Linked DNA regions of Saccharomyces cerevisiae S288C. Changing the gene in region 1 together with any one later gene gives a genetic interaction. Each region holds a gene or a part of one and is shown on either strand. Other genes may lie near its edges. The genes, in order: FRE1, MRX11 and LEU4.

Region 1 (11,002 bases):
ATACATATATATTAGAGCGTGCCTTCATGCAGGGAATTAGAGGATCCGTTACGGAAGAGAGAACTTCGTAAGACATTATTGCTGTGACTATTTTGACCGTTTCCAAGAACTCAACCAGTCATTTATCTTTGGAGTAACAAAGCAGTCCCATTTGAGAGACCCCTCATCATGATGATTCAGTCTGTCTTGCCTGTTATACGAAACGACTACTCTTGACAAATCTTTTTGGGAAAAGGTTGGTGCCTTTTTCTTTGCCTTTATACAAAACTGCACTTGTTCTGTGAATTTATTTTGGTACGGCGTTACGGTGATTTGTTCAACATGCGCCGTAAATTGGCCCTTTTCGATAATATCGGGTGAATTTTCCCAATCTATGAGGCCACCTGCCCAGTTTATTGTACCGGGTCCGTTGGTTTCCGAGCCGCCTGGCCAAACAGCGATTTCTAGTCTCATCGGCGTTTGTGGGTACCTATATTCTTTACTAATGGGGTCCCAGGTATCCTTCTTCAGGACTGTGCGAGCTATTTTACCATCAACATACCATATTATCCTATCCGGGTCCCAATCAATCTCATAAGTGTGGTAAGTGGCCCAAGTGTCAGCGCCTACGGGAAATCTTTGCATTCTTGTGTAATCCAAATGCCCTTGAGAATAGTAGTTTGATTGGGCCGTCATTAAATCACCACCCAGCCACTCAAAATCAATCTCGTCCCCAATTGCGGATGTTAAGTCAAATGCAGTCACCACACCCCTCGACCTCGCCGTTTTCATTCGCACGCTTGCCTTGCCGTATAGAAACGACCTGGTCGATGTGATCAAACTTCCGGTAGTTTTTTTTGGCATAGCCAGAACAATATTCCCGCTACTCGCTTCAATTGATGTGTAGCCGCTATGTGTGAAATCGAAATCTTCCAACATTTTCTCTGCCTCTTTACTGTCTGGAGTGACCAAGAATTTGGCGTAGTGTATGATTCTCTTGGAATTTAGCTCCCCTTCTACTACACCCACCTTGGTATTTGCCTTATTCGGTCCATTTCCCTCTCTTATTGGTGGCTTAGGTTGATAGTTCACAATAAATTTAGGAACCTTTGGTGTGCTAACAAATTCAAGTTTTTGACTGGCGACTAATGCAGGTATAGGAGCACAGCTTTCCTCGTCGAAAGATGACCTCACGTTGCAGCCACCGACACATATCGGTCCAGCGCCACATTCATTATACGGCGAGCAGCACGGCCATTCTGCGGGACAAGGGTTATTTGGAGAACAAGAAATGGAGTTTTTGGGTTTGTATAATTCTCCCAGTGCAAATCCGATGTAGCCAACAACCGGCACCAGCTGTAATATTGATATTCTCATATTTTTATTTCGTGCAAAAGCCCTTGATGATACTCTAAACTAAACGACTGTTCTTGTATTTCGTTATTAATCGATAATTATTAGCTGGTATTGTCTTTTTTTTTTTTTTCCTACATGATCGTCGCGAGGCTTTACATAATTTTTGTGACGCCTTTAAAAGTATAGTAGAACGAGCACATAAGAAGTAAATGAAAAGTACGGCAGATGCAATTGACAGTAAAGAGCGGTACAATAGTTGAAGAATACCCGATAAAAATGTATTTAGGTTGCTTGACGGGTTTGCAGCAATTGCCAAGAACACTAACTGTGGCAATCTTGGTGAGAATCTACTCCCAACCCAAACATTTTCGCCGATATTTTTGCTCACCTTTTTTTTTTGCTCATCGAAAATTGTTATAGCGGCTCGACTTTGATTTACTAATACACCCAATTTCTAATATCCTCAAGGCTAGATCGTTCTCTCAAGGAACTTAAAGTGCCTGATCTTGCGATGATTAATCTACAGCGATGGATACTTAAATCATGTAAAAATCTCAGTTTTGAAGTCGTTTGCTCTCTTCCATGCTTCAGTTCCCTTTTGGAAGGTAATATAATCATCTAATTTCTCGCATATTCACGCCGACGGAAGAACGAGCCGGATCAATATGGTTAGAACCCGTGTATTATTCTGCTTATTTATATCTTTTTTTGCTACGGTTCAATCGAGTGCTACACTTATTAGCACTTCATGTATTTCCCAAGCTGCGCTATACCAATTTGGATGTTCTAGTAAATCTAAAAGTTGCTACTGTAAAAACATCAATTGGCTGGGTTCAGTGACAGCATGTGCCTATGAGAATTCCAAATCTAACAAAACACTAGACAGCGCCTTAATGAAGTTAGCATCCCAATGTTCAAGCATCAAAGTTTATACTTTAGAGGACATGAAGAATATTTATTTAAATGCGTCAAATTATTTGAGAGCACCTGAGAAAAGTGATAAAAAAACCGTGGTTAGTCAACCGCTCATGGCGAACGAGACAGCGTATCATTATTATTATGAGGAAAATTATGGTATCCATCTTAACCTAATGCGCTCTCAATGGTGCGCTTGGGGTCTCGTCTTCTTCTGGGTGGCTGTGCTTACTGCAGCCACTATCTTGAACATTCTGAAAAGGGTGTTTGGTAAGAACATCATGGCAAACTCCGTCAAAAAATCACTTATTTATCCTTCTGTTTACAAAGATTATAATGAACGAACTTTTTATTTATGGAAGCGTCTACCATTTAATTTTACAACTCGAGGCAAGGGTCTCGTCGTATTAATTTTTGTTATTTTGACTATATTATCTCTCAGTTTTGGTCATAATATTAAACTTCCACACCCATATGATAGGCCCAGATGGAGAAGAAGTATGGCCTTTGTGAGTCGTAGAGCAGACTTGATGGCCATTGCACTTTTCCCAGTAGTCTATCTATTCGGAATAAGAAATAATCCCTTCATCCCTATAACAGGGCTTTCCTTTTCTACATTTAATTTCTATCATAAATGGTCTGCCTACGTTTGTTTCATGTTGGCCGTTGTACACTCAATTGTCATGACCGCCTCGGGAGTGAAAAGAGGTGTGTTTCAAAGTCTGGTTAGGAAATTTTACTTTAGGTGGGGTATAGTGGCAACGATATTAATGTCTATTATTATTTTCCAAAGTGAAAAAGTATTTAGAAATAGAGGGTATGAGATATTCCTTCTTATTCATAAAGCGATGAATATTATGTTCATTATTGCCATGTACTACCATTGTCACACCCTGGGCTGGATGGGTTGGATTTGGTCAATGGCTGGTATTTTATGCTTTGATAGATTCTGCAGGATTGTTAGAATAATCATGAATGGTGGCTTGAAAACTGCTACTTTGAGTACCACTGATGATTCTAATGTTATTAAAATTTCAGTAAAAAAACCAAAGTTTTTCAAGTACCAAGTAGGAGCTTTCGCATACATGTATTTCTTATCACCAAAAAGTGCATGGTTCTATAGTTTCCAATCACATCCATTTACAGTATTATCGGAACGACACCGTGATCCAAACAATCCAGATCAATTGACGATGTACGTAAAGGCAAATAAAGGTATCACTCGAGTTTTGTTATCGAAAGTTCTAAGTGCTCCAAATCATACTGTTGATTGTAAAATATTCCTTGAAGGCCCATATGGTGTAACGGTTCCACATATCGCTAAGCTAAAAAGAAATCTGGTAGGTGTAGCCGCTGGTTTGGGTGTTGCGGCTATTTATCCGCACTTTGTCGAATGTTTACGGTTACCATCTACTGATCAACTTCAGCATAAATTTTACTGGATTGTTAATGACCTATCCCATTTGAAATGGTTTGAAAATGAATTGCAATGGTTAAAGGAGAAAAGTTGTGAAGTCTCAGTCATATATACTGGTTCCAGTGTTGAGGACACAAATTCAGATGAGAGTACAAAAGGTTTTGATGATAAAGAAGAAAGCGAAATCACTGTTGAATGTCTCAATAAAAGACCTGATTTGAAAGAACTAGTGCGCTCGGAAATAAAACTCTCAGAACTAGAGAATAATAATATTACCTTTTATTCCTGCGGGCCAGCAACGTTTAACGACGATTTTAGAAATGCAGTGGTCCAAGGTATAGACTCTTCCTTGAAGATTGACGTTGAACTAGAAGAAGAAAGTTTTACATGGTAAGGCCCCTTGTTAATAATTCTTGCACGCATACTTTTGTTATTTTGTTGCTTTATCGGATAAAAGTTAATATAAATCGATGTAAATAATTTTATATAATCATACAACAGGGTAATAAAAAGACGAATATATTCAAATGCGGGTTCTAAATCTAAGTTTCATTCTCACTATCACTGCTTTCTTCCTTTGCCTGTTGAGAGAGTAGTTCTTTCCATTTTTGAGTGAGCTCTCGGATTGCTTCAGGATTTAAACTAGCTTCTACGAGATCCTGTGGAACATGATTTTCGGAGTGCTCTTTTGAAGCGAATCTCCCCGTGTTATGCCTCGTCACTAACCTTAATTCATAATCTTCAACATCATTCTTCGGAGGTGCTATCGCAGCAATCTCGTTCCATGAAAATAGCAAAGAATCTGTCTTCCTGGCAAACGGATTTATATCAACAATGAAGATTTTATTGAAAGGTCTTGGAATATAAACGTCAAGAACGAAACTTTTATCAGGAAACTTGGGCAGGACGACATCATGAACTATTTCATCAATAAGGTCCTTGAAGGTATCTGACAACTCATCTAAATAGTCATAATAATTTAAATCACGCTGGGTGGCCCCAACGATATGCGCATTCTTAACGAAGACCCTAAATTCGAGTGCCGGATTCATATCACACCATTGTCTAAGTACCAAGTCAAATTTCAATCCTTTTATATCATCCCCGTCCACGCAGCCTTTAAATGCTCTTTGAAGGTCATGCATTATGTAATTGGATGCGTTCAACAATAGGTAAAGCTCATTTACCTCGTTACACTTCATAGTGTTATTCGGCAAAATCCAGGTAGCGTCTCTTGGTGCAGACCAGTTTAACTTGGGAGCCACTGCACCTAATTCGTTCAAAGCATCCTTTAATTTCTGGTGTAATTCTGGAAAATCTATCAATGGCTCAACTTCTTGGACAAATTCGGTGGCGGTATCCTCATCGTCCTCCCAATCACTATAGTCATTATCTTCATTTCTTATTATTTCCTCGGTGTACACAGACCTGGAGTTTTCCTCTTGGGGTAGCTTGATACCGTCTTGTTCCAAATATTGAATAAATTTTTTCGGTAAGGATTTTAACACTATGGATTTTGGCACATATTTGGGATACAGTGAGGACCAAAACGAGTAAGAACAGTGTTCAACCTGCGCTCTTGTCACTGGTATATCTATAAAAGTTGTATATTCTTGTGAGGACATCAATAAGTAATTTATGTCAGCGCTTTTTGGACGCACGTTTTAGTTTCACTGGTGGAGTTACGGTATCATTAGCTTCTTAATCTTCCCACTGCATAAATGGACATCGGAAAATATCCGCTTATTATGCCTGAAAAAATAATTTTTTTAACAGAGTTTTCTACGTACTTTTTACTTAACTACTGAGGCAGCGCAACTGTTTAGTATTTAAACATATAAGCATATATATAATGCAAGTAATCAGGAGAACATCTTCGAAAGAGACTTTTTAGCTTTTTCGTTTTGTTGCTTTCTTTTTAATTTAGTATTATGAATAGCTTTCAAAATGGCAGCGTCATTTGGCTGGAAAGTAGTGGCCATTTCTAGGTCATTGAGAGCCATATCTGTGTCATTAACATGGTAATAGGCCAGGCCACGACGGTACAAAGCTTTGGCCTTGGCTTTTTCGTCAGCCGCTTCGGCATATAACACCTCCGATGAGGCTACTAATACTTGCTTGTAATCTTTTAATTTAAGAGCACAGATGGCAATATTCAATGGAATAGACACTTTCAATTGATTGATTTTTTCAATTTGTTCCTTCTCCAAATCTTCTGGGAAATACTCTTTCAAGAATTTATCACATTTGACATATTTTTCTAAAGCCACGGAATAGTTCTGTTTCTTGAACTGTTCAGTACCAATGTTCTTTACCGTTTCGATAGCTTTCAAGACGGTGTCGAAATTCTTCAAGTCAACTTTTTCGTCTTGTTTTAAAACATCTTCATAATTATCGCCGTACTCATCTGTTGGTGTAGCTTCGGCATTCTCTGGCACTTGATAATCGTCAGGTAACACGCCACAGTCATCAATCTTTACATCACGCAATGGCTTGTTGTTTTCTTGGTCACATTGTTGGTTTTCAATCAAACGAACAATTCTTTTACCTTGAATCACTTCACCAAACACAACGTGCTTCCCGTCCAAATGAGGTGTAGGAACACAGGTTATGAAAGCTTGAGATCCATTGGTATTTGGACCGGCGTTGGCCATGGATAGAAGGAATGGTTTATCATGTTTAACAGTGAAATTTTCATCCTCGAATTTTTCATCGTATATGCTCTCACCGCCAGTACCATTAAAATTGGTAAAATCACCAAATTGACACATGAAGTCTTTGATCACTCTGTGGAAAATGGAACCCTTGTACGACAATGGTACATCAGGTTTAGTCTTTGCCATACCAGCATTTCCTTCACACAACTTCAAAAAATTTTCAGCCGTTTTAGGCACTATGTCATTGTACAACTCAAAAACTATACGGCCTTGGGGTTTACCTCCAATAGAAATATCAAAAAAAGTTTTAGGTCTAGTCATTTTTACTCCTTGATCGCCTGAATATTGTCTTACCAGTTTTCTATGTGATGTGAGCGCATCAGCACCTCTGATATTCGACTTATTTAAATAATTTTCTGTCTGAACTTTCTCCAGCTAGGGCGGAAAAATATTCTAGAAGCTCATAGAAATGCCGTTCAAAAGCGTAACAGTTATGTTCTATAAAGGGAAACAATGTGTTTCGATCACTGCAGCTGTCTATTATATACAAGTTATACATCACGACATTTAGATTTTCATTTCTTCTTTTCCGAATCCTTACTGGTCGTCCCATCCACGTCCACTGTGCTTACGCGCTCTCTATTACCATTCTTTTCCCAACACTTCCTAAATAACGCCATCTCGTTGAAGCACTGCCTCCAGTCACCTGTTTCGGCATGGCACAGCTGTAATGCGAGGTTCTCTACGTAGCATCCGGTCTTGGATATTCTCGTGTCCCACACATCCGGGTCTTCGTCTTCTTGGACCTCTTTGTATTCTTCCAGCGCCTGCTTATAATACTCTGAAGTTTCGCCAGTTTCACTCATGACCAGTCTGCCAGTTTTAGCCTGCCAGAGCTTTTCTTTCCCTTTAATCTTCCCTTGTTTGGCGCAACTCTTAGAAGTGCCTTTCACTACCTTTAATGGCTGAGGCCCCTTTTTTTGTTTCGGACATTTGTTGTGAGAAAAAAAAGAAGAAAATAAAAGCATAAATGAAGCGAATGGATGAGAAGAGGGGAGGGAAAGCAAGAACGAGAAGGACAAACATCAGGGACCCATACTTCAATAAATTGCTTGATTTGGTGTTAATCAATTCTTCTAACATCAAACCTCTTTTAGTTTCCTTCGATCGTTTCACGTTGCTTATATTGATTGCTTTTTACTTCTATTTTTTCACTAGAATAAACAAACAAAGACATTCTGTTGATCAAGAAAGTTGAAAATGGTATTTGGTTTTACAAAGAGGGACAGGAGGGTACCTGATTTATCTAGGTATGATTACTACTATCAGAACCATGAAGATTATAACAAAAGTCCTCAGCTCTCTGCTGCTGCTGCCTCTGCTGCTTCTGCCGCATCACCGGATCGAACCAATTACTCAAGGTCGCACTCGCTGGTTAGTCATGCACCTTCAATACCGAGACAAAGAAGTTCGGTAAAGAGCCCAGGAAGAAGGCTTTCCACATCCTCTGCCGCTCCGCCAACGTCCAGGGCAGCAGCTAAGCAGTATTCACAGAAGACTTACTCGTTGAGGTCGCAAAGGAGCGGAGAGTACCATTTACACCCGCCCGGTTATACTACTAATGGGAGCCGTATGAATTCTATGACGTCTGGTGCGAATGTCAGAAGAAACTACGGTAAGAACAAATCGACGGCCGGCAACAATAACGATTCAAGGGCCAACTCCATTACCGTAAAGACTACACAAGTAACAGACCCTTCAGGAAGGACTCAATCAATTACCAAAAAGACAATAAGAAAAATAAATGGGTATGAATACGTAGAAACCACGACTACGACTAAGAATTTGGTTCCATTAGGTGACTCGCAGCGTCATTTCGATGAATTTAGTGAAAATTACATGTTGCAAGATGACGACATTTTAGAGGAACAAGCTAGTGATAACATTCACGATATAATCGAGGAAAACGAAACAGATAACGAAAAGCCATATTCCCCAGTAAGCGAAAGTCATTTACAAGATGATTCAGAGCTAAACGTGGAAAAACCAGATTTCCCACTTGGATCATATTTCCACCATAAGTATTCTACAGACGTTATGCCTCTAGAAGAAGAAAGTAGTTTATCAAACTTCAGTGACGCATTAGATTATATTCCTCCCACCCATCAGACCAGTAGTAAATATATTCATAATAAAAGGAAGCAAGCATCGACGACAAGAAGGAAGAAAAGACCGCCTGCCGTGAAAAACGCAGAAGCAGAGGCCAAGAAACCATTAACCGAAGCAGAAATGTATCTGAAGGCACTAGAGGTTGCTAAAAGAAACGTTTATCACACGGATGCTGCTTCGGATAACGCATCGGCCCCCCTCGGGAGTAACAAATCCAGGAAAAGTAGGATGGGTCAAAAAATGACCTTGAGAAGCAGTAGTGATTCTCCGACGGCGACTGCTAATCTTGTCAAATCTAATGTCGAGGTTCAACCAAAAAGATTTACAAGTTCCTTCTTCAGCAGAAATACTAAAAGCGCCCCCCATGAAGTGCACAATCACTCTGTGTCTACACATTTTAAATCGAATAAGGCTGTTGACCCAGTTCCAGAGCCTAAAAGTGCAAACACAGGGCTAACAGATAAAGAAATGTATGACCAAGCTTTGAAAATCGCACAAGCGAGGTATTACAACTCACATGGTATTCAACCTGAAGCAGTCGATAATAGCACTACGGCGGCTAAACCTCGTCAGGTCGGCGTTAGCCATCTGGGATCCACTGGGAGCATCCCGCCCAATGAGCAGCACTATTTAGGGGATTCTGAAATTCCAGTCCAAAGCGAAGTGCATGAATACGAGCCCATTCCATTGCAGAAGACAAAAACAACTGGTTCTTCCAAAAATAAGTTCAAAACCATGTTCGATAAAGTGCTGCAATTCTCTCAAGAAAACTACGGCTACCAGCACAAGAAGGAACAAGGCGAACAAACTCCAGTTACTCGTAATGCTGAAGAAAGCTTCCCAGCAGCGTCTATTTCGGAAGGTGTGACAACCGCAAAGCCATCTTCAAACGAAGGTGTGATGACGAATCCAGTAGTTACAGATTCACCTTCACCCCTTCAACAACAAATAGACTCGACTACTGCGTCCTCGAATGGGCAAAGTCAGGGCAATGTACCTACCTCCGCAGTAGCTTCAACAACGAGAACAAGATCACCGGAACTGCAGGATAATCTAAAGTCTTCTTCTTCGCTTTTACAGGACCAAACCCCTCAGCGTCAGGAAGACGCCACGGATCCAACAACATCATCGACGAATGAATTATCTGCCGCTGAGCCAACAATGGTCACTTCGACACATGCCACTAAGACAATACAGGCTCAAACACAAGATCCTCCCACGAAGCACAAGAAGTCCAGTTTCTTCACTAAACTGTTCAAGAAAAAAAGCAGCCGTTAGCAGTTGTTTACTCGAATTTTGCAATCAACCCTAATTTTTGAAGCCTGGTTTTAGATTTATTCTCTTCTTTTTCTTCTTGTGAACTTCAATTACTAATGTAACTTAATTTTTAATATAACTTTTACAGTTTAATAATATTGATTTTTTTCGGTCTGGACCAATCGCGCCGCATTTCTCACTAATATTACTAACATACCCTCTTCTCATTGGCTCGGTACCCCTTTCGTGACCCGCATTTTTTGTTTTCTTTGTTAGCCCGAATGTCTCACAATGAAGATGTAAAATTAAGATTATATATGAAAAATTGATACAAAACAAAATAGTTCAAATAATCAAGTTAAAGCGACATCACTCTCAATTTTTGCTTTTTTTAGGTTTATAGAATAGAAATATAACAGAACGAAGCCTTTAGACTCTTTTTTTTTATTGGTATATTGAACAAAGAAACTTTTTTTTTGTCCTCCCATATCTCGTGCACACAAATATTATGTCCATTGTAGCACTAAAGAACGCAGTGGTGACCCTTATACAGAAAGCGAAAGGTAGTGGTGGAACCTCAGAGTTGGGGGGGTCTGAATCAACTCCCTTGTTGAGGGGTAGTAATAGCAATAGTTCAAGGCATGATAACTTATCCTCATCTAGCTCGGATATTATCTATGGTAGAAATTCAGCGCAGGATCTAGAAAACTCACCGATGTCAGTAGGGAAAGATAATAGGAATGGCGATAACGGTTCGGATAACGAAAAGGCGAACCTAGGGTTCTTCCAATCAGTAGATCCTCGCGTAATTAGCGATTTGATTATCGGGCTAAGCGACGGTTTAACCGTCCCCTTTGCTCTAACAGCTGGTCTATCTTCACTTGGTGATGCGAAATTGGTCATTACCGGTGGCTTTGCTGAGTTGATCTCAGGTGCGATTTCTATGGGCCTTGGTGGCTATTTGGGAGCGAAGAGTGAATCTGATTATTATCATGCTGAAGTAAAGAAGGAGAAAAGGAAATTTTACGATAACTCCAACCTAATTAACAGAGAAATTGAAGACATTCTGTTAGAGATTAACCCTAATTTCTCGGACGAAACAATCGTTTCGTTCATCAAAGATTTACAAAGAACACCTGAGCTAATGGTTGACTTCATTATCAGGTACGGTAGGGGTCTAGACGAACCTGCCGAGAATAGAGAACTAATCAGTGCAGTCACTATCGGTGGCGGTTATCTACTTGGTGGGCTA
Region 2 (10,310 bases), on another chromosome or scaffold:
GGTTCAAGCGTAAGAGAAAGCACGCAAAAAAATAGAGGTAGAACCATATTTATAGGAATTTCGATTTGTATTCTCTTTACGTATGTACATTATTTTTCAAAGAGTAGATAGATGAATCTCTAACGTACTCGAAAGCTTTTATGTCGTTATTTTAGTACTGTTTTACGAGAAGCGCGAGAAACTCTCTACATATACTGTCCAGCATCTCAGTAAATCATACTGAAACCTTATTACCAGTATCGCTCCTAGACGTTCCGTTTGAAGTAATAGGCAAGACGAGAATTATTTATTTCCCATGATATACATAATGGTTATAAGTAGACCGCAAATAAAAGTATGTAAAATTAGCTATGTTTCTACATTGTTTGTGCAATGACTTTTAGGTTCGGCTGGTCATTAATAACTAGGTGATGCTGAATTCACGTATCTTATTAGATACATTTAGAATTCATGACTTCTCCTTTGTATGAGCGTGTCCCTCCTTTTCTTGATGGTTTCAGCCCTTCTACATACTACACAATGTACTTTGTTAACCGATGATAACTCTACTTTATACGTAGTTTAGACTTTGAACGGGATGAACTGGTTGTTTCATCCAATGTTTTCGTAAAGTCATTCTTTTTTATGGAAAATGTACAAAGTTGTTTATATTTTTTGCTATGGTTATTAACCTGAATACCATTAACAGATGTGTTATAATGGGAACATATTACTATTGCCGATAAGTTACGAACAAACCTACTACTACCATTATATAAAAATTAAGGGGGGTACTTGAAGTCTTTTCTTTCTTCTTTTTTGGGAATGCATGAGATATTCATATGTTTTAAAGCCCCATTAGTTGAGATGAATTATGACGAAATTCGCATACATCTGCGGAGAACAGGGTTTTAGCTCGACCTAAAATCAACCCATTATTTTACCTGAATGTTGCAGACTTGCATTCTTAGTGCCTCTAAAGCGAAAAATTGAAACTGTATGCCGATTTAAATACTATAAAGATAAAAAAAAGTTTAATGAATATAATAGTGACAGTGCTGTGGAATGAAAAATTCCAAATATATATAAAAATAGAAGCCTATCTTCTGTTTTTCTTTCGAGATGGCTCATCTGATGCATTGTTTCCTGACACCGCAGCAGCGGCTGCTGCTGCCGCGGCCAGAATTCTACGGTTAACACCAAGCCCACCTAACGCATTTGCAGCGGCACCTGCGGTGATTCCTGAAGCTTGTGTATTGTTTTTCGTTCTTGATCCAAGATTCATGATGTCATTATCGTTCGTGTGAATTCTTCTTGCCGGGTATTTGTAAGTTAGACCTTCAAATACATTTTCACTAACAGGAATATCACTTTCTGTGAAGTACTTATGTTCCAACGCATTAAATGCATCTATTCTTTTAATTGGATCATAATTTAACAAGTGGTAAAGTAAGCTTAAAGCATGCTTGTCCCTTCCTCCCGCGGAATGATACCATGTAGCAAGGTTATCCCTATACTTTGGAAACTTCGTAATTTGATCATATTCTGGATACTTCTCCAAATAAGGCCAAATTTTTTGATCGGGAGTGCCAAGAACTTCCAAAATTCTCTGTAGTTGATTCACTTGAAATGGAACAGTCTTTTTAGAGTCTAGTTTAGCTTCTTCACCTTTAAATATGGGCTGTAATCCTATCAGTTCTGCAAAAATGCAGCCAACGGACCATAAATCAACCGCAGGGGTATAGTGCCGTGCTCCCAATAGCAACTCAGGTGCACGGTACCATATAGTGACAACCACTTTATCCCCAGTATAGAGGGTTTGCAGCATATTATGAAATTTTCTGGCCAAACCTAAATCACCAATTTTAACACATCCATCTATGGTCACCATTATATTTGCGGGTTTCAAATCTCGATGAAGCACCCAATTTTGATGAAGATACGATACGCCGTCTAAAAGCTGCCACATAATAGACCGAACCATTCTTGGTGGTATCATCCTTTTTTCGGGATGGGAATGGAAGTGGATAATTTGTAGCAGATCATGCTCCGCATATTCGTATACCATATGGACACATTTCCTTTCCAAAAAAATTTCCACTAATGTGGTTAAATGCTTGTTGTGCAATTCTCGACATAATGCCATTTCTCTACAGGCACTCTGAGATATTCCCGTATAATGCAATTGTTCGACGCCATCCTTCTCTGTCTTGAACTTTTTAATGGCATAAAATACCGTCAGCGGTTTTTTAATGAGGGTTTGTTTTTGGGAATTATAGTGCGGGGATACATCTTCCCTCGTAGTTCGTATTCTTCCGGGGGTCACTCCTTCATCCTTTAACAAGTTTCTTCTTAATGCGTTTGTATTTGCCTGCATGTCCATTGAAGAGCTTGATTTTGGTTGCGTGCTGTCAAACTGCGGAATTTTCGCATTGGTACCATTCAGACTAGAACCATTAGCGGAATTGGTACCGGAGTTGATTTGTCTTTTCGCTTTGTAAACTTTACCATATGTGCCCGCAGCAATGTAGCCAATAACTTCGTACTTTTCTAAGACAGATACCCGCATTCTATCTTTTCTTGCCCTATAAGGTCCAATAGTAAAAACATCATTATTGGCCATTAGCATCGGGGCTTTTCCATGCACACTTCCGATTGTGTTTTTCTTTCCAACGAACGATTGAGCTTGCTGTTGTCCTTGTACCTGCATAGGCCTTTGGTACATTGGCTGATAGGAGTTTTGTGCTCTATCCTTGCCATTATACATTTCTCTCTCCTCCCGTCAAAACTAGGCGGCCTTAATTCAATTGGGAAGCAAAATTACTAACTTCAGTATACCCTTCCGCCTTTTTTCTTTCCTATAAACCTTTCTTGTATCCTTTTTGTCAGCAGTGATTGTGGGATAACTTTCAAGTATTGAAGCGGGAAAATGAAACGCAACTTAAGCCACACCACGTAATTCTTGAAGACTTTTGATGTATGATATTTATTTCACTGTTAAAAAAAGCTATAATTTCCTCTAATCAAAACTCTCTAAAACGAAATCAAAAATATTCGTAACACATATATAACGAAGTACAATATATTGGGAATCTATAAATCATATGCCGAGTGCGCAACTTCAACTGAAAACAATAATCCGTCTCTGGGCCAGAAAAAAAAAAGGAAAAAAAAGCTTTATTTCTTAATAAGGTGCTTTAATTTTTGAAAGGGAAGAAGCAACCATTTCCCAAAATATGGTGCTCCCCAGATACTAATGAAAATGCGTACCGGATATAGTAATTTTACTGTAACGTAGGCTACTGTGCCAGATAAAATCAACTTGTTTTTGTTGAGGCATTCCTGATATCTCTTACCAACAAATTTCTCCATAGCTGTATGACAGCTATCCATTAGGCCATTTAAGAAGTTTGGGAGCTTAAAATCATCAGAAAGATCGAGGTTATAAAGTAACCACCATAGTAGAAACAGTGGTAGTATGGCAGTTACCTCATGCAAGATGAAGAATGATGTAAGTGTTGGAACCGTGCCGGCCTCACTGAGGCGGTCGAAATAGTGTGAAAATTTAGGATTCTTGTTTAACCTTGTTAAAAGTCGTGACTTGGAAAATATTTTACGTAGTCTATCCTCCCTTCTTTTCACTGGATCTAAATTTCCCGATATGAATCTAATTTGGGTTGATCCGCCGGGCCTGGTGTTCATAAACGTGGTCAATTGCGTTGGCCTTTTAAGCATGAGCTCCAACGGTCCAGAGCCCATCTGCAGTTGACAGGGCCTGAAGAAAAGATTCATGACAGTCATGTTCCTGGTGAGGGTGCCTTGGGTGTAACACTTATCCTTACACGGTCTCTCAAAAGCAATATTTTTACATTTCTCTTCTTTGCTTCCTGTTCGTATAACGCGCTGAGAGCTGGTAAGAACAATAGGCCGAGGCCCTGCATCAAAATGTCAGTAGGGGACCTGTTAGGTACCCACTAATAAGTACAAGAGGGTTTTTATTTTCTAAGAGCCAATAATTGGCATTCTTTATATACAGGAAAGGTACATGTCATTCAAGACATGAGATGATCCACAGCTTCTTTACATCTGTCACACAATTTATCCTCTTCGGCTGAGTTGGCCTTCCAACATCTGGGACAGTTGTGCCTTTTGCTTCGTTCAACCAATATTTGAACGTTTATTCCGCTTCCCAATTCAATAGTTGGTAGACTGTTATTATTATCGTCCATTTGCAATATATCAACAGCAGATGATTGCAATATGTCGCAAAGCTCGTCAGAACTGAATGGGAGGTGATGCTTGGTGAAAATGGTAACGTGACTATGTGTTGTTTTGGTGACACCTTCTTCTAGACTTAACCTCTTGAATTCCTCCTGGAACTGTTTTAGAATTTTTAGTTCAAAGTTTTCAAAGGAGGTGACGATTTCCGTATTTGAGTCCAAAAACGGCCATTTTCCACGCATCGGATTAATGTCTATATGTTCTTGTCCTTGTAACCATCCTTCTGGTATATACTTCCATACTTCTTGGACCATAACGGGTAATATTGGTGCAAGAATTGCCCTATATGCATTTAGTATATGGACAAGCGTTGTTTGGACCTGCCTTCTTGCCAATGACGATATTTGGTTGGAATATAAAATATCCTTTGAGATATCAAAATAAAACGCCGATAGCTCGTTATTTAAATGATATTGTAGAGTAATGAGAACCTTGGAAAAGTTGTACTTTTGGTAGTGTTCTCTCGTCGTTTCCAGCAGTTCGTTTATCTTATACAAGGTATATTGATCAACACGGCGTAATTGTTCAATCGGCAAAAGGTTGAAATCTTGGGACTTCTGTAAATTACTCAATAAATAGCGAAAAGTTAGTCTAACCTTTTTTAGAGCTTCTCCTACATGTTTCATCACAGTCGGGCCAGCAACTATATCAGTTGTGAAATTCGATTGTGCTATCAGATACCTCAAGCCATCAACACCCAAAGCTGGTAAGCCTAAGTTTTCATCGCCTCGAATTATTGCTTCGGGAGAAATTGTATTTCCCACAGATTTTGACATTTTCAGACCATTCTCATCTAGGGTAAAACCATGAGTAATCACTTCTTCATATGGTGCAACAGGGACATTACTTGATGCTACTTTTGTTAGCAGTGAACTTTGAAACCATCCTCTATGTTGATCAGATCCTTCTAGACAAACTTGGTACAGGGGGGATGGGAGTTTTGACAACTTTAAGCTTTTTTCATAAAAGTCTTTGATCACACTCCATGACGACCCACTATCAAACCACACATCCATAGTATCTTGAGAACGACAGTATTCATGCGCTACGTCGTGATATTTTTCTGGCAACCATTCTTTCATGTCATTATCTTTATCGTTAAACCATGCATTAATTCCTTTTTGTTTGATTTTTTCTATGGCATGTGCCAAAATTTCTGAATTCATCAAAACAGAATCCGGTTCGCTCTTCTTGTAAAAGCTTAATATAGGGATACCCCATGAGCGTTGCCTAGATATGCACCATTCATTTCTGCTTTTCATAAAGGATGAAAGTCTTGAATAGCCTCTTTTAGGACAAAACTTGACGCGGCTGATGCTTTCCAGAGCCAAGTTTTTTACATCGTGTAAATCTGCAAACCACTGTGGAGTAGCTCTTATTATGACAGGTTTCTTGGATCTCCAGTCGTACGGATAAGAATGCGTGTATTCGTGAGATTTGTAAAGTAAATTAAGGTCGCTTAACTTACATAGAATGATTTTCGCGGTTTCGGCATCCAATACTTGCCTACCTTTTGTTAAGTCTCCTTCATCTCTCACGATGGATCTGACGGACTGAGGAAGTTCATTTAATTGGTAGCGGCCCTGGTGATCCACGGGAGAATAAATTTCAAGACCATTTTGAATACCAATGAGATAGTCATCCTGTCCATGCCCTGGTGCTGTATGAACCAATCCAGTCCCTGTACCGCTGGTAACGTGTGCACCATGTAATAAGGGCCTGCCAACCTTATCGTCTACTAAGAGGTTTTGATAATATAGCCCATTTAGATGAGTTCCTTGAAACTGTTTGATAGTCTCAAATGAGTTAGTTGTTAGGCCCAATTTATCAATGGAGCCGGTCTCTACAAGGATAAGTTCACTATTTAAGCGTAATAGGGAGTAGGAAAAATCCTGATTGAAACAGATTGCTCGATTAGAGAGAAGAGTCCATGGAGTACTGGTCCAAATCAAACAGTATATAGGCAAGTTATTCGTTATTCCTAGTTTTTTGCACAGATCCATCTGGGATTTCTTTTCAAGAGGAAATTTAACATAAGCAGCGATGGATTTATGGTTTTCATTATATTCTAATTCGCCCTCTGCTAACGCTGTTCTAGTTTCTGTACCCCAGTAAACCGGTTTGTTCTGTCTCTTAATCAGTCCTCTTTCGTACATTTCTTTAAAAATATTTAGCTGATTAATTTCATAGTCTTTATCCATTGTTAGGTATGGTGTTTCCCAGTCCGTTAAGATGGCAAAATGTTGGAAAGTTTCCCTTTGCCTCTTGATTGCCTTTTGTGCATGTTTTAAAGCCATTGACCTGATTTTTAAAGGCGATATTGACTCGATCTGTTGCGCGCTTAAATCTTTCAAAGCTTTAATCTCGATGGGTAGTCCATGACAATCCCAGCCAGGCTTATAAAAAATGTACTTCCCCTGTGAAAGTTGATATCTGTTTATGATATCTTTCAGAATTTTATTTAGAGCATGACCGAGATGGAGCTCGCCGTTGGCATAGGGCGGTCCATCATGTAAGATGAACAACTTTTCTTTAATGAACTCTAATTTTTCATCAGTCGTATTAAGCTTTGAAAATTCTTCGAAGAAATCACGTAGCTGCTCCTTGTAAACTAACTGCGAAGATTTTGGTATTAATTCCCTCAATGTAATCTCTAAGTTTGATCTATTAGGGAATTTGGTCTTGGGCAAGTTTAATGTTTTTTGGTAGGCATGTTTGGCGAGATATCGCTTGCTAATAATGCTAAAGATATGTTGAGGCACAAGCCTGGAGCGCTTCATAAGTAGCTAAAGATCGTTCTTAGTATACTGTGTTCCATAACTTCTAGCCTTGGTCCTTTATATTTGCTGTTTTTCTGCGTTTCTTAACTCGCTTGCGGAAAAAGAATCGACATTTTCAGAACAGGATTTTATTGTTTTTAAAGTACATTATATGGGGCGACACATCATCGCCATCTATGTTAAATATTTAAAGAATACGGGGTAGAATTATTCACGCTGGGGGATGCTGAAAGAGGAGTATAATTTGAGCGGTGCTGATAACATGGCATCTGCTGAGTTGTCATTTAAAAAGCAAAAAGTGGTATTGAAAAAGTTCATGATAGCGCAAGTGACTAAGGGGATTATGCAGCGGTATGCGAGCCTATTAGTTACCATGCCTAGTGATGATGACAATGCAATTATTGGCACAAATCATTTGAAAACAACCAAATTTTTAGAAATAATCCTACACAGAGCCAAATCATCGCATTTACAGTTCAAAAAGGTCTGTTGCATTGTCATCAAGTTTCTAGATTGCTGCTCGAAGGAAACTAACTACATGAAGTTTTTAAAGTTCAGCTTACACAAACTATTTGTAGCTGCTTTCATCTTAAGTGTGCCAAATGTTGTAGGCGATGACCGCGACAGGATTACCACGAGGGATGAAACCTATCATCTCTATTCCCAGATAACAGGCTTGCCACTGGAAGAAGTGATAAATTGTTGTTCTATTGTGAGGCCTGTACTTATTCGGCGGAGTAGACAACAACGCAGGCAAATGTTATCTCGACGTGAACAACATTCGTACTTCCTCAGAAGTTCTTTTATGAACTCCAATTCATCAGCATCACCTTTTTTCTCTACCAATAGGTCAGCTGATGATCTACATGTACATACAAGGGCATACTCGCTTCATAGCCATTCCGATGGGGAAGGCCAAGATAGGCGGTCGGAACATGAAGAAACGCATAGCATGGGGGCTGATGCCGATACATATCGACAAACTACGTTTATCCCAGACACACCAAATGGTTTGCATTCTAGATCATTAATTGAGTGTGGGATCGAACCCACCCAAGTAAGTGACTCTGGTGAATGGTCGGGTCAAAGTAACGGATATGTTTTGGTGACAGAATTACAGGAGTTTAACAAAATGGGTAAAAAGTTAGTACAAGAAGCTTTTAGGATAGTTTAATAAAGTATGGTTTGTCGTTTTGTTCATCATTCAAGGGTCATTTTTATTTCCATTTATGATTTCTTGAGTACAAAAGGCAAAAAAAACATGTATAATTATACACAAGAAAAAAAAACAAAACAAAAGAACACTTTCACACAAGCAAGTATATATTATGAGAATTTTTTCGAGTCTTACAGAACCATATCTTGCCTCTAAATTTTAGTCTAAAAATTTTGCTAGCCCATCAATTTTTTTTTTGTTCTAATGCAAAATATAACATGGGTAAGAAAAAGAAAAAGCCGTTCCTCAGTACGTAAAGAGATTTGATCATTAACAAGTTGGGCTCAATATACACAGTCGATAGTCTATATGTGCATATGAAACTGGCGCAAGACATGAATGTAGATGAAATATTTCTCAAACAAGCGGCAGAAGCTATAGCGGTAATCTCATCAAGTCCCACTCATACGGACCCCATAATACGAGAGCTACTCCACAGAATTCGACAATCCAGCCCATTGAGCGCAGTTATACCAGCACCAGAAAATGTTTTAAAGGCTGGGGAGCCGGAAAATATGGCTAGAGGTCTTATAAGGATTCCAGAAACACAAACAAAAAGAACAGGAGGTAACAACCATAGCAAGGAAGGCGCACAGCTCTACAGCTGTGCGAAATGTCAGTTGAAATTCAGCAGAAGTTCTGATCTGAGAAGACATGAAAAGGTACACTCACTCGTGCTGCCGCATATTTGCTCAAACTGTGGCAAAGGGTTTGCCAGGAAGGATGCTCTAAAAAGACATTCTAACACACTGACCTGTCAAAGAAACAGAAAGAAACTAAGTGAAGGTTCAGACGTTGATGTAGATGAGCTCATCAAGGATGCGATAAAGAATGGTACCGGCCTGTTGTAAGGCTAGAGGAAAACGTATTTGTCTCCATCAGCACACCTACACATACATATATAGATAGATATATACTTTAGCCATTGAGATAAGTAGAATAAAAAAACGTTGTAATATTCCGATACAGTTAGTGACATGTTCTCTACTTTTGCCAATTTTTTGCGCACAAAGTGGTGACGTACAAGTTCATCATTTCACGTGTGCAGCATAGTGTGGTATATTGTTTTTTTATATTTTATTTTTTATTTTTTTTTTTTTGCAGAAAACAGTGTTTGTATTATATGCTTTAGATATGCTAAAAAAAATGAAAAAAAATGGAACAAAATATGTGTTTTTTTATTTAACGTTAAAATTAAAGATTAAGTTATTTATTCGACGTCAGCATCAAAAGTTTGACCTTCAACTAACTCTGGAATAGCTTCATCCTTCTTTTCAGCATCAGCTGGAGCCTTGGCTTCGTGCTTTTCCATTTGGGCAGCCAATTGAGACAAGGCTTGGATGGCTTCAGGGCCCAATTGAGAGATAATACCTGGGAACAAATCTTGCAAGTTCTTTTCCTGTGGTAGACCGTAGAATACAGAAGTGTTGTGTTGAGCAGCAACTTGGACACCGACCTTGTTGAAGTGCATGACCTTACCGTCGTCCTTGAAAAAGTTGGCTTCGGCGACGTTGTCAATGGTGACAGCGTGCAACTTAGCTAATTGACTTTGCAACTTGGTGTCATCCTTGTTGGCACCGGCAGAAGAGCCTGCCTTCTTGTTAAGCTTTCTTCTAGTACCACCAACTTTGTTGTTAGCAGACAACTTTTGTAGCTTAGCTAATTTTTCTTGGTCAATTGGCATTATGAATTATGAGTCGCGTCTGGTGTGAGATGTTCTATTCTTAAACCTCCCTAGAAAGAATATTCGCTCTCTTGTGACAAAGGAGGGGTTACTACTTAACAAGCAATTGCAGCTGTTTCCACTACGAAATCTTCCAATGTCAACGAAAAAAATTCAAAAATTTTCTGCTTTTTTTTTCAACATCTGCCGTACTAAATGATTCCACAATAATCCATCATATACCATTACCCTGATTCCCATCGAAGAAAAGGCGGTGTCCCCTTACCCGTCCGCTCATGCCAAGAGATTAATTCATAACCGCTCTTCCTTGGATCAGAAGTGAACATATGAAGTTGCAACTACTACATACTTACTACCGTAGTCCATCATC
Region 3 (11,002 bases), on another chromosome or scaffold:
CCATTTCATTGGCGATATCACATATCAGCCTACCAGAGCAAATGTCACTAATAAAAAAATGGTTCATATTCGAATTTCCTCTACCGAATTTTTCAGGCCAAGTCCTTCTTAAACGACGGCCAATAGAGCTGAACGTTGGAATGTTGAGATCATGCATTCTATGAGCTAAAACATCTAAGTAGACATTTTGCAAACGATGGCCTATGATAACATCTGGGTCTTCCACTTTTAACATAGCACAAAAACAAGATAGCATGGCCTTTTCGTTGTTGAACAACCTGACTCTACCGGGTAGTTTCTGTTTTGCCAGTGCAGCTAAACCTAATGGGAAACTAGTTGACTGAGGCGGCCTTACTAAAGTACACAAGTCGTCTGGTTTTATATTTTCAGGTATCGGTGAATCCAACGAGATATTTCTATATGCTGATAACGTTATCGAAACAATCTCTTGCTTATTTTCCTTGGGATTCATTAACGTCTGAATCGATAAAGATAGACATCTCAGATTAGGCATTGTCTTTGTTGTAGTAGGCGTGATATTCTGAGGCTTATCTACCGAAACTTCAACCGCACAGTGAGAAGCATTACGAATTGAATTGAAATCTGCTCCCTTTATATCTAACCAGCATGGTCCCATAATCCTATTTTGAATAACAAAACTTTCAAAAATATTGGAATTCCCACCAAAAACATGATAAAAGGTATCGCTAGATAAATCCGATGGAATGGTGTCTCGACTGGACTTCGGTGTTTGGTATGGAAGTAAGACTTTCAAATAATCACTTTCAGATGGAATGTCAGGAAGCTCAAACGAATATTTCATTTTTTGAGGTTTAGCGCGGATATTATCCAGTCCATATTTATCCATCAGTAACGGAATTATTTCCTCGTGTATATCGGTAGGTGTTTTACCCTCTCTTGGAAGGAAAAATAGCTCTCTACAGAGACCGTTGATTTGAACCATGGCTGACACACAATTATCATCCTTTAGTTTAACCTTACCAAATAAAATCAAAGTGTTGTTCACTTCACAGTAATCCAACCAAAACATTTGGAAAGTATCAGTTTCCGGATCTACCACATCTTCCTTTTTGACATTAACCGCAAGTGTAGCAACATCGGTGTTGCTCTGCAAAGATTTACTTGGAGTTAGTCCTTTAATACCGATTGGCGTTCCGGGTGCTGTGACAAACGGTGAAGTTGAAGGGTTACTTCTTGAGTCTATATTCACGCGTCTAGTTGTTGTCACACTTCTCATAGTTCTTCTTTTCAGAATAATATCTTCATCACTATCTTCATCATCTTCTTCATCAGCCAAACTTTGAGCGGATGGTGGATTTGCTAGTAACGTATCTTGAAGTACATTCTGTCTCTTTGTGGCTACTACTGGGGAATTTTCCACATCATCCAATAAATCCTGTACATCATTTGCGTAGCGCAGTTTCCTGCTTTGTAATTTTAACGGTGATGATTCGATTTCTAAATATTTATCAGTACTTGAATCTGGATCAATCTTGACTTTTTTAGAAATACCGGCATCATGACTTGACTCATCGTTTCCGTTAACTCTCTTTATTGACGATTTAAATTCACTAGTCGGCGAAGAATTTAAATTTTCCCTTAATTTGGATGGCAGTAAAATATTGGGTTTTTCTACTTCACCAGATTCAAACTCACCAAGAATGTCATCAAAATTATCGATGGGGATACTTTTTTTTTGGGATTTTTTTGCATGTGCTAGCAGTGTTGATTTGGAATGTTGAGTTCGCAGCATATCTGTAATCTGGTGGTCTTTCTCCCTTTTTATATTCTTCTTCCTTTTAGAATCCTTGCTAGCAAGGTTTCCAGTGTCTTCATCACTTGAACTGTTATCAACTTCCCTCCAATCTTCTTCGACACCACGATCGACGTAGCCTACACCATCGTCATCTACAACAAAATCGTCATGCAGCAATTCCTGGCGCTTTCTGGCCCTGTATTCTTTTTCGTCGATTTCGTCGTATATTCTGTCACCATCTGATTCGTCACCTTCGTAATCATCGATGGATGTACCATTTCGAGCGGCTTGCAGCTTTCTCAATTTTTCTAATTTTTCACTTTTAGAAGACATTTTCCACTGTTTATTTTATGCCTTGATACTATTTGGTTTCTAATAGCAGAGTGAAGACAGTTTTTTTTCTCGTGAGTCTGAATTGGTATGTGTTCGTTGTCTAGACCAAGAAGATATATATCATCCAATGAGTAAAGAATTTAATTCAGTAAAATTGGATACACGCGACGCGTTTTACTTATAGGCTAACAAAAAAATTTTAACGCGTTTGAATAGATGTGTGATGAATGAAGAATAGAGATTGCAGGCAGTACAAGAAAAAAGTTATATTTCTTTAAGAAAAATGCACGTATATATATATATATATATAATTAAACTGTATAGTCTGTTATTTTATTCTTTCTGAACCTTCTCAAAAATTTGCTTCTTTAAGCTTTCAGCTTTTTTTATTCCTTCCGTTTCACCGCTACTCAGAACTAAATTCTTTAAAAGCTTGTTTTCCGTTTCTAACGTATGTATCCGTTTTTGTAAGGATGCTGCAATTTCGGTCAGTTCATGTATCGATGATTCTAACTCCTTTTCCTTTAGTTTTTTTTTTTGATGAGATTTTTTCGACTGTATCAATAAATCTTCATCGTCGTCCCCTAACTCTTTCTTGATCAGTTGCTTCTTTTCAAAGCCGTGTAAATCTGCATCGTCATATTCATCGTCTTCATTATCAGAATACTTGCGGTCGACGGGTACTTTTTTATTTTTCAAATCTCCGGAGTGTGATCTTTTTAAACTATTTTCCTTGTGATCAGAAGAACTTGCATTTAAAGTTGGCTCGGATCGTATCTTGGCAATTTCGTCTCCACGCGTCGTACTTGACTTAATAACAGCGTTATTATGATGGACATTATCGTTTCCATTGTTACCGTCACTCTCTCTTGATATTTTATGATCGTTTCGTGAAGGTTGTCGTTGATTGTGAATATTATTACTTTTTGGATGCTTTATGCCCAGTTCCAAAATGGAGCTTAGAAAAGAAGCCTCTGCTACTACACCGTGCTCATTGAACGAAGGCGACGTTGATAAGGTAGTTGGCGCAGCAGTTTCAGCCGGAGAGGGTGGTATTAAGACACTTAAAAGTTCGTTGATGTTTTTTAGAATGGGTGCCTCTTGACTGTCATTGGTGTTGATGTTTTTATTATTATTACTGTTATTTTCCCTAATCTTTTTTTGATGATGATACGCCATTATTGCGGCTATAGCATCTATTTGATCATTGTCAAATCCCGCGCTGATCAACGAGTTATATGCGCCGTTGGGCACGTTGACCCTCGGTAATAGAGTTACTAAAACAGAGGTTGGTATAATTGAATAGTCAGGAACAGTTATATTGGGGGCTTTGTTGGAGCTGTTATTATCGCTGTTACTATCGACTTTGCTTTCCGAATGTTTTCGTTGTTGTGAAGAGGAATTTTGAGCAGAAGTGACATTGCTTAGGGGGGAGGAGCGGTTCGGTGTGTGTGTTGTCCTATGTAGTAGATTTGATAGCGCATCCACTCCATTGTCACCGGTAGTATTGTTCTCAGTTGATGTAATGTCAACATTTGTGAAGCCGCCATGGTCGATTGATGTCATATTAGTTGCGTCAGCGGGAAACTGAGAAGGGCTTCCCATAAAGTTTGGCTCAAAAGGATGGTTATTTTGCATATTGTCGCCAAAGTTGTTTGTTTCGCCGTTATTGCCATTTCTTTTGTTTTTGGACGAAAATCGAGACTTTGATTGGTCGTATTGGGAAGTTAGGAAAGTATTCCTTCTTTGAGTCAAGAAGTGAGGATTTCTTTGTCTATTATTGGTAGAAGGGTCCTCATGCAATACGTCGTGGTTGCTATGGTCGTCATTACCATTATTGCTGTTGTTATTGTTATTGCTCGGCTTATCCTCGTCTGGGAAGATGAAAGAATCGTCGGCAAACGCACTCAACTCAATGGCTAGTTGTTCATCCAAGTCAAAAGGATTTGCATTTATGCTGCTGAAAGTGTCCGCGCCATTATTGTTTGCATTATTATGGGTGGTATTCACATTCCAATCCACATTAGAGAACTCGTTATCCAGAGATGGTATGAAGTTATCCACGTAGGCCAACTGTTCTAAGAGTATTTCTGGCGTGACAGCGTGGTCATATAGGTTAGTGTTGCCCCTATTGGTAACGTCACCTATTAGGGGGCGCCTATTCTCGCTGCTGGTCACCAGAGAAGATGACGATGAGGCTGTTGCCACAAACTGGTCCAACGAGTTCGTGCTCCCCATGCCATTATTATTAGCACCGTTGTTGCTGCTAGGGTGTGTTGCGGTATCTTTGCCAAAGAGATTTATGAATTCCGTGCTGTATGAGTCGCCTTCGTGGGACTGCTCCTGCTTCATCGTTCACAGTGGAAAAAAAGGAATAAAAGTGCTTATCAGAAGTGCGCTTTATTGACGAGAGTCTGTCTAAACAGTTGACGGACAGGCAAGAAGACCTTCAGGAGTTGACTAATATATGAAATGATGTGCGTTCAAACAGACCGTTTCACCTGGCACAGATGCATGTAAACAAGGATATACGTTATTACATGCTACGGCTACATCTAGATTGGGTGGATTTAAGTTGAACGATGAAAGAAAATTCAAGCAATATGCTTGTGTGGCCCGATGACACACAATAGCATGTGCGACGAGACACCAGCTGTGTGCCGGGTGCTACCCGCGCACGTGATTAAAAGGAAACGGGGAAAAAGCCATAGCGGAAAAGTGCTCGAAGAAGCCTCGATAAATGAAGTAAAAAATTCGATATTTTTCAACGACAATAAGACGTATATAAGCATCCGTATGTCCAGCGATTGAGCTTATGCTTCTGTTCTCCGCTTTGACACTTCCACTCGGCTGTTATGACCAGCCCCAGGATTGCTACCGGAGCGGGACCGGCTCTGAGACAGTAGTAGGTTAGTCATCGCTCTACCGACGCGCAGGAAAAGAAAGAAGGCCTCAGAAAAGCTGAGTTGAATGTGTGTCATACTTGGCTGAAAAAATTGTACAGTAACGGCCAGTCACTGTCATGCGCGTGCATGTATGTGCGTGCATGTATGTGTGTATGTATATTTATATATATATAAGCACGGGCGCATGGGAGATGTGCGCTATGGAGTCGCGTAGGTTCGATGTTTTCTCCTCTTGGGTCAGCCTCTCTCCTCTTTCAACGTTCTTTCCATAATCATTTATTGGTTATTTTTCAACTTGACCAGTAAAAAGAAACTTACGTGTAAGTGACTCAGTTCTTTCAAAGGGTATTTTTTGAAGAAAAAAAAGGATTCTCACACTAGAAGTTTACTGTAGACTTTTTCCTTACAAAAAGACAAGGAACAATCATGGTTAAAGAGAGTATTATTGCTCTTGCTGAGCATGCGGCCTCCAGAGCCTCAAGAGTTATTCCTCCAGTGAAGCTAGCCTATAAAAATATGCTTAAGGACCCTTCCTCCAAGTACAAGCCATTTAACGCTCCAAAGCTATCTAATAGAAAGTGGCCGGATAACCGGATCACGAGGGCTCCTCGTTGGTTATCAACAGATTTGAGAGATGGTAACCAATCTCTGCCGGATCCCATGTCAGTGGAACAAAAGAAAGAATACTTTCACAAGCTGGTCAATATTGGGTTCAAAGAAATCGAGGTTTCCTTCCCCTCTGCATCTCAAACAGATTTCGACTTCACTAGATATGCTGTAGAAAACGCCCCAGACGATGTTAGTATTCAATGTCTTGTCCAATCTAGAGAACACTTGATTAAGAGAACGGTGGAAGCATTAACAGGTGCTAAAAAGGCTACTATACATACTTACTTGGCAACAAGTGATATGTTCCGTGAAATTGTTTTTAATATGTCTAGAGAGGAAGCTATTTCCAAGGCAGTAGAGGCCACCAAACTAGTTAGGAAACTAACTAAGGATGACCCTTCCCAACAAGCCACTCGTTGGTCCTATGAGTTTTCCCCCGAATGTTTCAGTGATACTCCAGGTGAATTTGCTGTAGAAATTTGCGAAGCTGTTAAGAAGGCTTGGGAACCTACCGAGGAAAATCCAATCATTTTCAACTTACCTGCTACCGTAGAAGTTGCCTCTCCAAATGTTTATGCTGATCAGATTGAATACTTCGCTACCCATATTACTGAGCGTGAGAAGGTTTGCATCTCTACACATTGTCACAATGACCGTGGTTGCGGTGTCGCCGCCACAGAGTTAGGTATGCTTGCAGGTGCCGACCGTGTAGAAGGATGTCTCTTTGGTAATGGTGAACGTACAGGTAATGTGGACTTGGTTACTGTTGCTATGAATATGTATACCCAAGGTGTTTCTCCTAATTTGGATTTCTCTGACTTGACCTCTGTCCTAGATGTGGTTGAGCGTTGTAATAAGATCCCAGTATCGCAAAGAGCACCATACGGCGGTGACTTGGTCGTTTGTGCCTTTTCCGGTTCTCACCAAGACGCCATTAAGAAGGGTTTCAACTTACAAAACAAGAAGCGTGCTCAAGGTGAAACTCAATGGAGAATCCCATACTTGCCATTGGATCCAAAGGACATTGGCCGTGATTACGAAGCTGTCATCAGAGTCAACTCTCAGTCTGGTAAAGGTGGTGCCGCTTGGGTTATTTTGAGATCTTTGGGTTTGGATCTACCAAGAAACATGCAAATCGAATTTTCTAGCGCCGTTCAAGACCATGCTGACTCCTTGGGTAGAGAACTAAAATCAGATGAGATTTCCAAGTTATTCAAAGAGGCTTACAACTACAATGACGAACAGTACCAAGCTATTAGTTTAGTCAATTATAATGTTGAAAAATTCGGCACTGAACGTAGAGTGTTCACTGGTCAAGTCAAAGTAGGCGACCAGATCGTCGATATTGAAGGTACAGGTAATGGTCCAATCTCTTCTTTGGTCGACGCCCTATCAAACTTGTTGAACGTGAGATTTGCCGTAGCAAACTACACAGAGCATTCTCTAGGTTCTGGTTCTTCTACGCAAGCTGCTTCTTACATCCATCTATCGTATAGGCGTAATGCCGACAACGAAAAGGCCTACAAATGGGGTGTAGGTGTCTCCGAAGATGTCGGTGATTCTTCAGTGAGAGCCATCTTTGCCACCATTAACAATATTATCCATTCTGGTGATGTGTCCATTCCATCTTTGGCCGAGGTCGAAGGTAAGAATGCTGCGGCATCTGGCTCTGCATAAGAACTTTTCTGTATTTCAGGACTTATTCGCTTCTATTTATTTCTATACTTATTTATTTACTTCCTTTCCTTTTTTTTTAACCATATAATTACTAGAAGCACGGATGTCTAAATTAGAATTACGTTTTAATATCTTTTTTTCCATATCTAGGGCTAGTGCTTGTTTTTCTTTTTTTAGTATATTCTTGAACCAAATACGTGTGGGGTGACCCGAAACTTGTTTGGCGGTTAGTGACGAAATTGAAACAAACCTGGAGTTATTAAGAGAGATTTAACTGGAAAACTAGGCATAAAGGACAATAAGTACTCGCTTCATATAGTCTCAACATATTTTTGTTCGCAGAATTGGTGACAAAGGCCACGCAAAGGCAGCAGAATCAAAAACAAATACTCAGTAGCTATGAAAATACTCCTATCGAAACAGCAAACTAGAAAGATAGCAATAGTTTCAGAAACACATGGACTGGTATTTAGGCCAATAAACAGTAAGAACTCTCGCAGATCTACATGTGCCGTGGAATTGGTTCCGAAAGCTGAATTAAATGGTAATGGTTTCAGAAGACTATCTAACCATGAAATATACGGTTTTATTGGTCTCATAGAAATTGAAGGCCTTATGTTCATAGCAACCATAACAGGTAAATCTAAGGTGGCCCAGCCGATCCCAAACAAAACGGTTAACAAAATATATGCTGTGGATTTTTTTTGCTTAAATAATTCTAAATGGGATTTCATGGACATCGATTCATCCGGTTATCCGATTGTTACTAATGATGGAGATTTTGCAATAAGCTCGCCTCCTAGTATTTCCACACATTCTTCTAGATCATCGCTACGTTCTTCTTCCTCTAGGAGTTTGAATGCTCAAGAACAAGCTCCCAAGCATCCATGTCATGAACTAAGAAAGCTATTATCAAATGGATCTTTTTATTACAGCACCGATTTTGATTTAACTTGTACATTGCAGAAACGTGGATTCACGGAACACTCTTTGAGTTTTGATGATTTTGACCGGGAGTTTATGTGGAACTCGTTTCTTATGGACGAAATCATCACATACAGAGACAGACTAGATGTAACGGCCAAAGAACTATTGGATCAACGAGGATTCCTCACGACCGTAATCCGAGGGTTTGCTGAAACAATTTTTAGCTATATTAATAGGTTGAAAGTAGGACTTACCATTATTTCCAGGCAAAGTTGGAAAAGAGCAGGCACAAGGTTTAATGCACGTGGTATAGATGATGATGGCCATGTCGCAAATTTTGTTGAAACAGAAATGATTATGTACTCTTCTCAGTATTGTTATGCTTTCACGCAGATAAGAGGAAGCCTTCCAATTTTTTGGGAGCAGGATACATCTTTGATTAGTCCAAAGATTCAAATTACCAGATCTGTTGAAGCAACACAGCCCACGTTTGATGAACATTTTATAAGACTATTTAAGAAGTATGGGCCAGTTCATATAATCAACCTGCTGTCTACTAAATCTTCAGAAATTCAATTATCGAGGCGATACAAGGAACAGTTGAAAAATTCTGAGAAAATGAAAATCGGTAGAGATGTGTTCCTAACAAGCTTTGATTTCCATAGAGAAACTTCGCAAGATGGGTTTGCAGCTGCAAGTAGGATTATCCCTAAAATAAGAAACACAATTTTGGACGCCGGTTACTTTTCATACGATGTAAAAGAAGGGCGATTAATATCCGAACAAGACGGTGTCTTTAGAACCAATTGCTTGGATTGTTTAGATAGAACAAATTTGATCCAACAGACGATTTCACTGGCCGTTTTCAAACTATTTTTGGAAGACTTCCGATTGGTAAAACCCAGTAGTTTCATCGACGATAATGAATTTGTGCAAAAGGTGAATGCTTTATGGGCCGACAACGGAGATCAGATATCACAAATTTACACTGGGACAAATGCTCTGAAATCGTCCTATTCAAGGAAAGGTAAAATGTCTTTTTCTGGCGCCCTTTCTGATGCGACGAAGTCCGTTAGTAGAATGTACATCAACAATTTTGTAGATAAAGGAAAACAGCAAAATATTGACACACTTTTGGGCAAACTACCGCACCAGCAAGTTGTTGAACTTTATGATCCAATCTGCGAATACGTCAATGAAAGGCTGTTAGAGTCAGAGGAAAAATTCACCACTCATTCTAACATAAATTTGTTTGTCGGTACATTCAATGTTAACGGAAACTCTCGAAGAGCAGATTTGTCAAAATGGTTATTTCCAATCGGCGATAAATTCAAACCTGATGTCGTTGTGTTAGGGTTGCAGGAAGTTATAGAGTTGACCGCAGGGTCTATCTTGAATGCAGATTATACGAAAAGTTCTTTTTGGGAAACTATGGTTACTGACTGTTTGAATCAATACGAAGAAAAATATCTTTTACTTAGAGTGGAACAGATGTCCTCTCTTTTGATACTATTTTTTGCAAGATCAGATAGAGCCTATAACATAAAAGAGGTAGGTGGGTCTACCAAAAAGACTGGGTTTGGTGGTATTACTGGAAACAAAGGTGCAGTAGCCATTAGATTCGATTATGGGGCAACTTCATTCTGTTTCGTTAATACACATTTATCAGCAGGTGCGAGTAACATTGACGAACGTCGCAATGACTACAACAATATCTACAGGAACATAACCTTTCCAAGATCAAAGACAATTCCACACCATGATTCGTTGTTTTGGTTGGGTGACCTTAACTACAGGATAACTTTGACAAATGATGAAGTTAGAAGAGAATTAAGGGCTCAAAAGGATGGCTATATTGATAGATTGCTTCAATATGATCAGTTGACTCAAGAAATAAATGAAGGAGTGGTATTTCAGGGCTTTAAAGAACCGACCCTCCAATTCCGTCCGACCTATAAATATGATTATGGCACAGATAATTATGATACTTCTGAAAAGGCGAGAACTCCGTCTTGGACTGATAGAATCATATATAAAGGTGAAAACCTGCATCCATTGGCATATTCGGACGCACCTTTAAAAATAAGCGATCATAAACCAGTTTATGCTGCATATAGGGCAAATGTGAAATTTGTTGACGAAAAAGAGAAGCTTAACCTAGTTGAGAAGCTGTATGCAGAATATAAGAATACGCATCCCGAAGCACTAACTACAGGTCCTGACGAACTTTCTCATGCAAGAATGGAAAAACAAAAGGAAAGTATACCCTTAGATGCAACCGTTCAATCAGCGGGCATAAAACTAATTGACCTAGATGATACTTCCTCGTGCGTTTCGCCTCTACTTTCTGGTCCCAGTCCCCAACCGTCTGTTGTTGGCCCTGGAGGACTCAGTAACGTATCACCCGATAAAAGTAAGCTCAATGTGCTTCCTCCGCCTCCTCCTACCTCGAGGCACAATAAGGAACCATCTTCTAAACTTCTTTCCCCTACCAAAGAGATTTCCATTGTCAGCGTATCGCCGCGTAAAGGTGAGAGCAATCTTCCTGCCTTAGAGAGACACAGTACACCCAAACCACTGCCGCCAGTGCCCGCTTTATCTTTATCTAAGCCAGTCTCTTTACAGAAAAGTTCTTCAGAATTACAGCATGCTAAAGAGACCATAGATAATGGGAAAATTGTTCCTCGACCTTGTCCTCCTATTAGAAGGAAGAGCAGTACTGCCCCGGACGAAATCTCTACATCTACCAAAAATTCAGGTGTGTCCACTACAG

The links.
Region 2: mutations in FRE1 (region 1) and MRX11 together harm fitness more than expected from each alone (negative genetic interaction), as found in Saccharomyces cerevisiae (2 studies listed by BioGRID).
Region 3: mutations in FRE1 (region 1) and LEU4 together harm fitness more than expected from each alone (negative genetic interaction), as found in Saccharomyces cerevisiae (2 studies listed by BioGRID).

What each region holds. Positions count from the first base shown.
Region 1 is NC_001144.5:566,567-577,568, forward strand, and holds FRE1 (ferric/cupric-chelate reductase), read left to right. Parts: upstream 1-2,000; coding exon 2,001-4,061; downstream 4,062-11,002. Other genes in the region: CRR1 (putative glycosylase), read right to left, coding at 88-1,356; cell proliferation protein CDC123, read right to left, coding at 4,210-5,292; peptidylprolyl isomerase CPR6, read right to left, coding at 5,530-6,645; COA4 (Coa4p), read right to left, coding at 6,900-7,352; MSC3 (Msc3p), read left to right, coding at 7,585-9,771; CCC1 (Ccc1p), read left to right, coding at 10,259-11,002.
Region 2 is NC_001148.4:471,962-482,271, forward strand, and holds MRX11 (Mrx11p), read right to left. Parts: upstream 3,781-10,310; coding exon 3,157-3,780; downstream 1-3,156. Other genes in the region: mRNA-binding ribosome biosynthesis protein NOP4, read left to right, coding at 1-35; cyclin-dependent serine/threonine protein kinase SSN3, read right to left, coding at 1,079-2,746; isoleucine--tRNA ligase ISM1, read right to left, coding at 4,032-7,040; YPL039W (uncharacterized protein), read left to right, coding at 7,264-8,214; YPL038W-A (uncharacterized protein), read left to right, coding at 8,221-8,412; MET31 (Met31p), read left to right, coding at 8,574-9,107; EGD1 (Egd1p), read right to left, coding at 9,467-9,940. UniProt on the Saccharomyces cerevisiae protein: Component of MIOREX complexes, large expressome-like assemblies of ribosomes with factors involved in all the steps of post-transcriptional gene expression.
Region 3 is NC_001146.8:421,195-432,196, reverse strand, and holds LEU4 (2-isopropylmalate synthase LEU4), read left to right. Parts: upstream 1-5,442; coding exon 5,443-7,302; downstream 7,303-11,002. Other genes in the region: DNA-directed DNA polymerase alpha catalytic subunit POL1, read right to left, coding at 1-2,110; MET4 (Met4p), read right to left, coding at 2,444-4,462; phosphatidylinositol-3-/phosphoinositide 5-phosphatase INP52, read left to right, coding at 7,702-11,002. UniProt on the Saccharomyces cerevisiae protein: Catalyzes the condensation of the acetyl group of acetyl-CoA with 3-methyl-2-oxobutanoate (2-oxoisovalerate) to form 3-carboxy-3-hydroxy-4-methylpentanoate (2-isopropylmalate).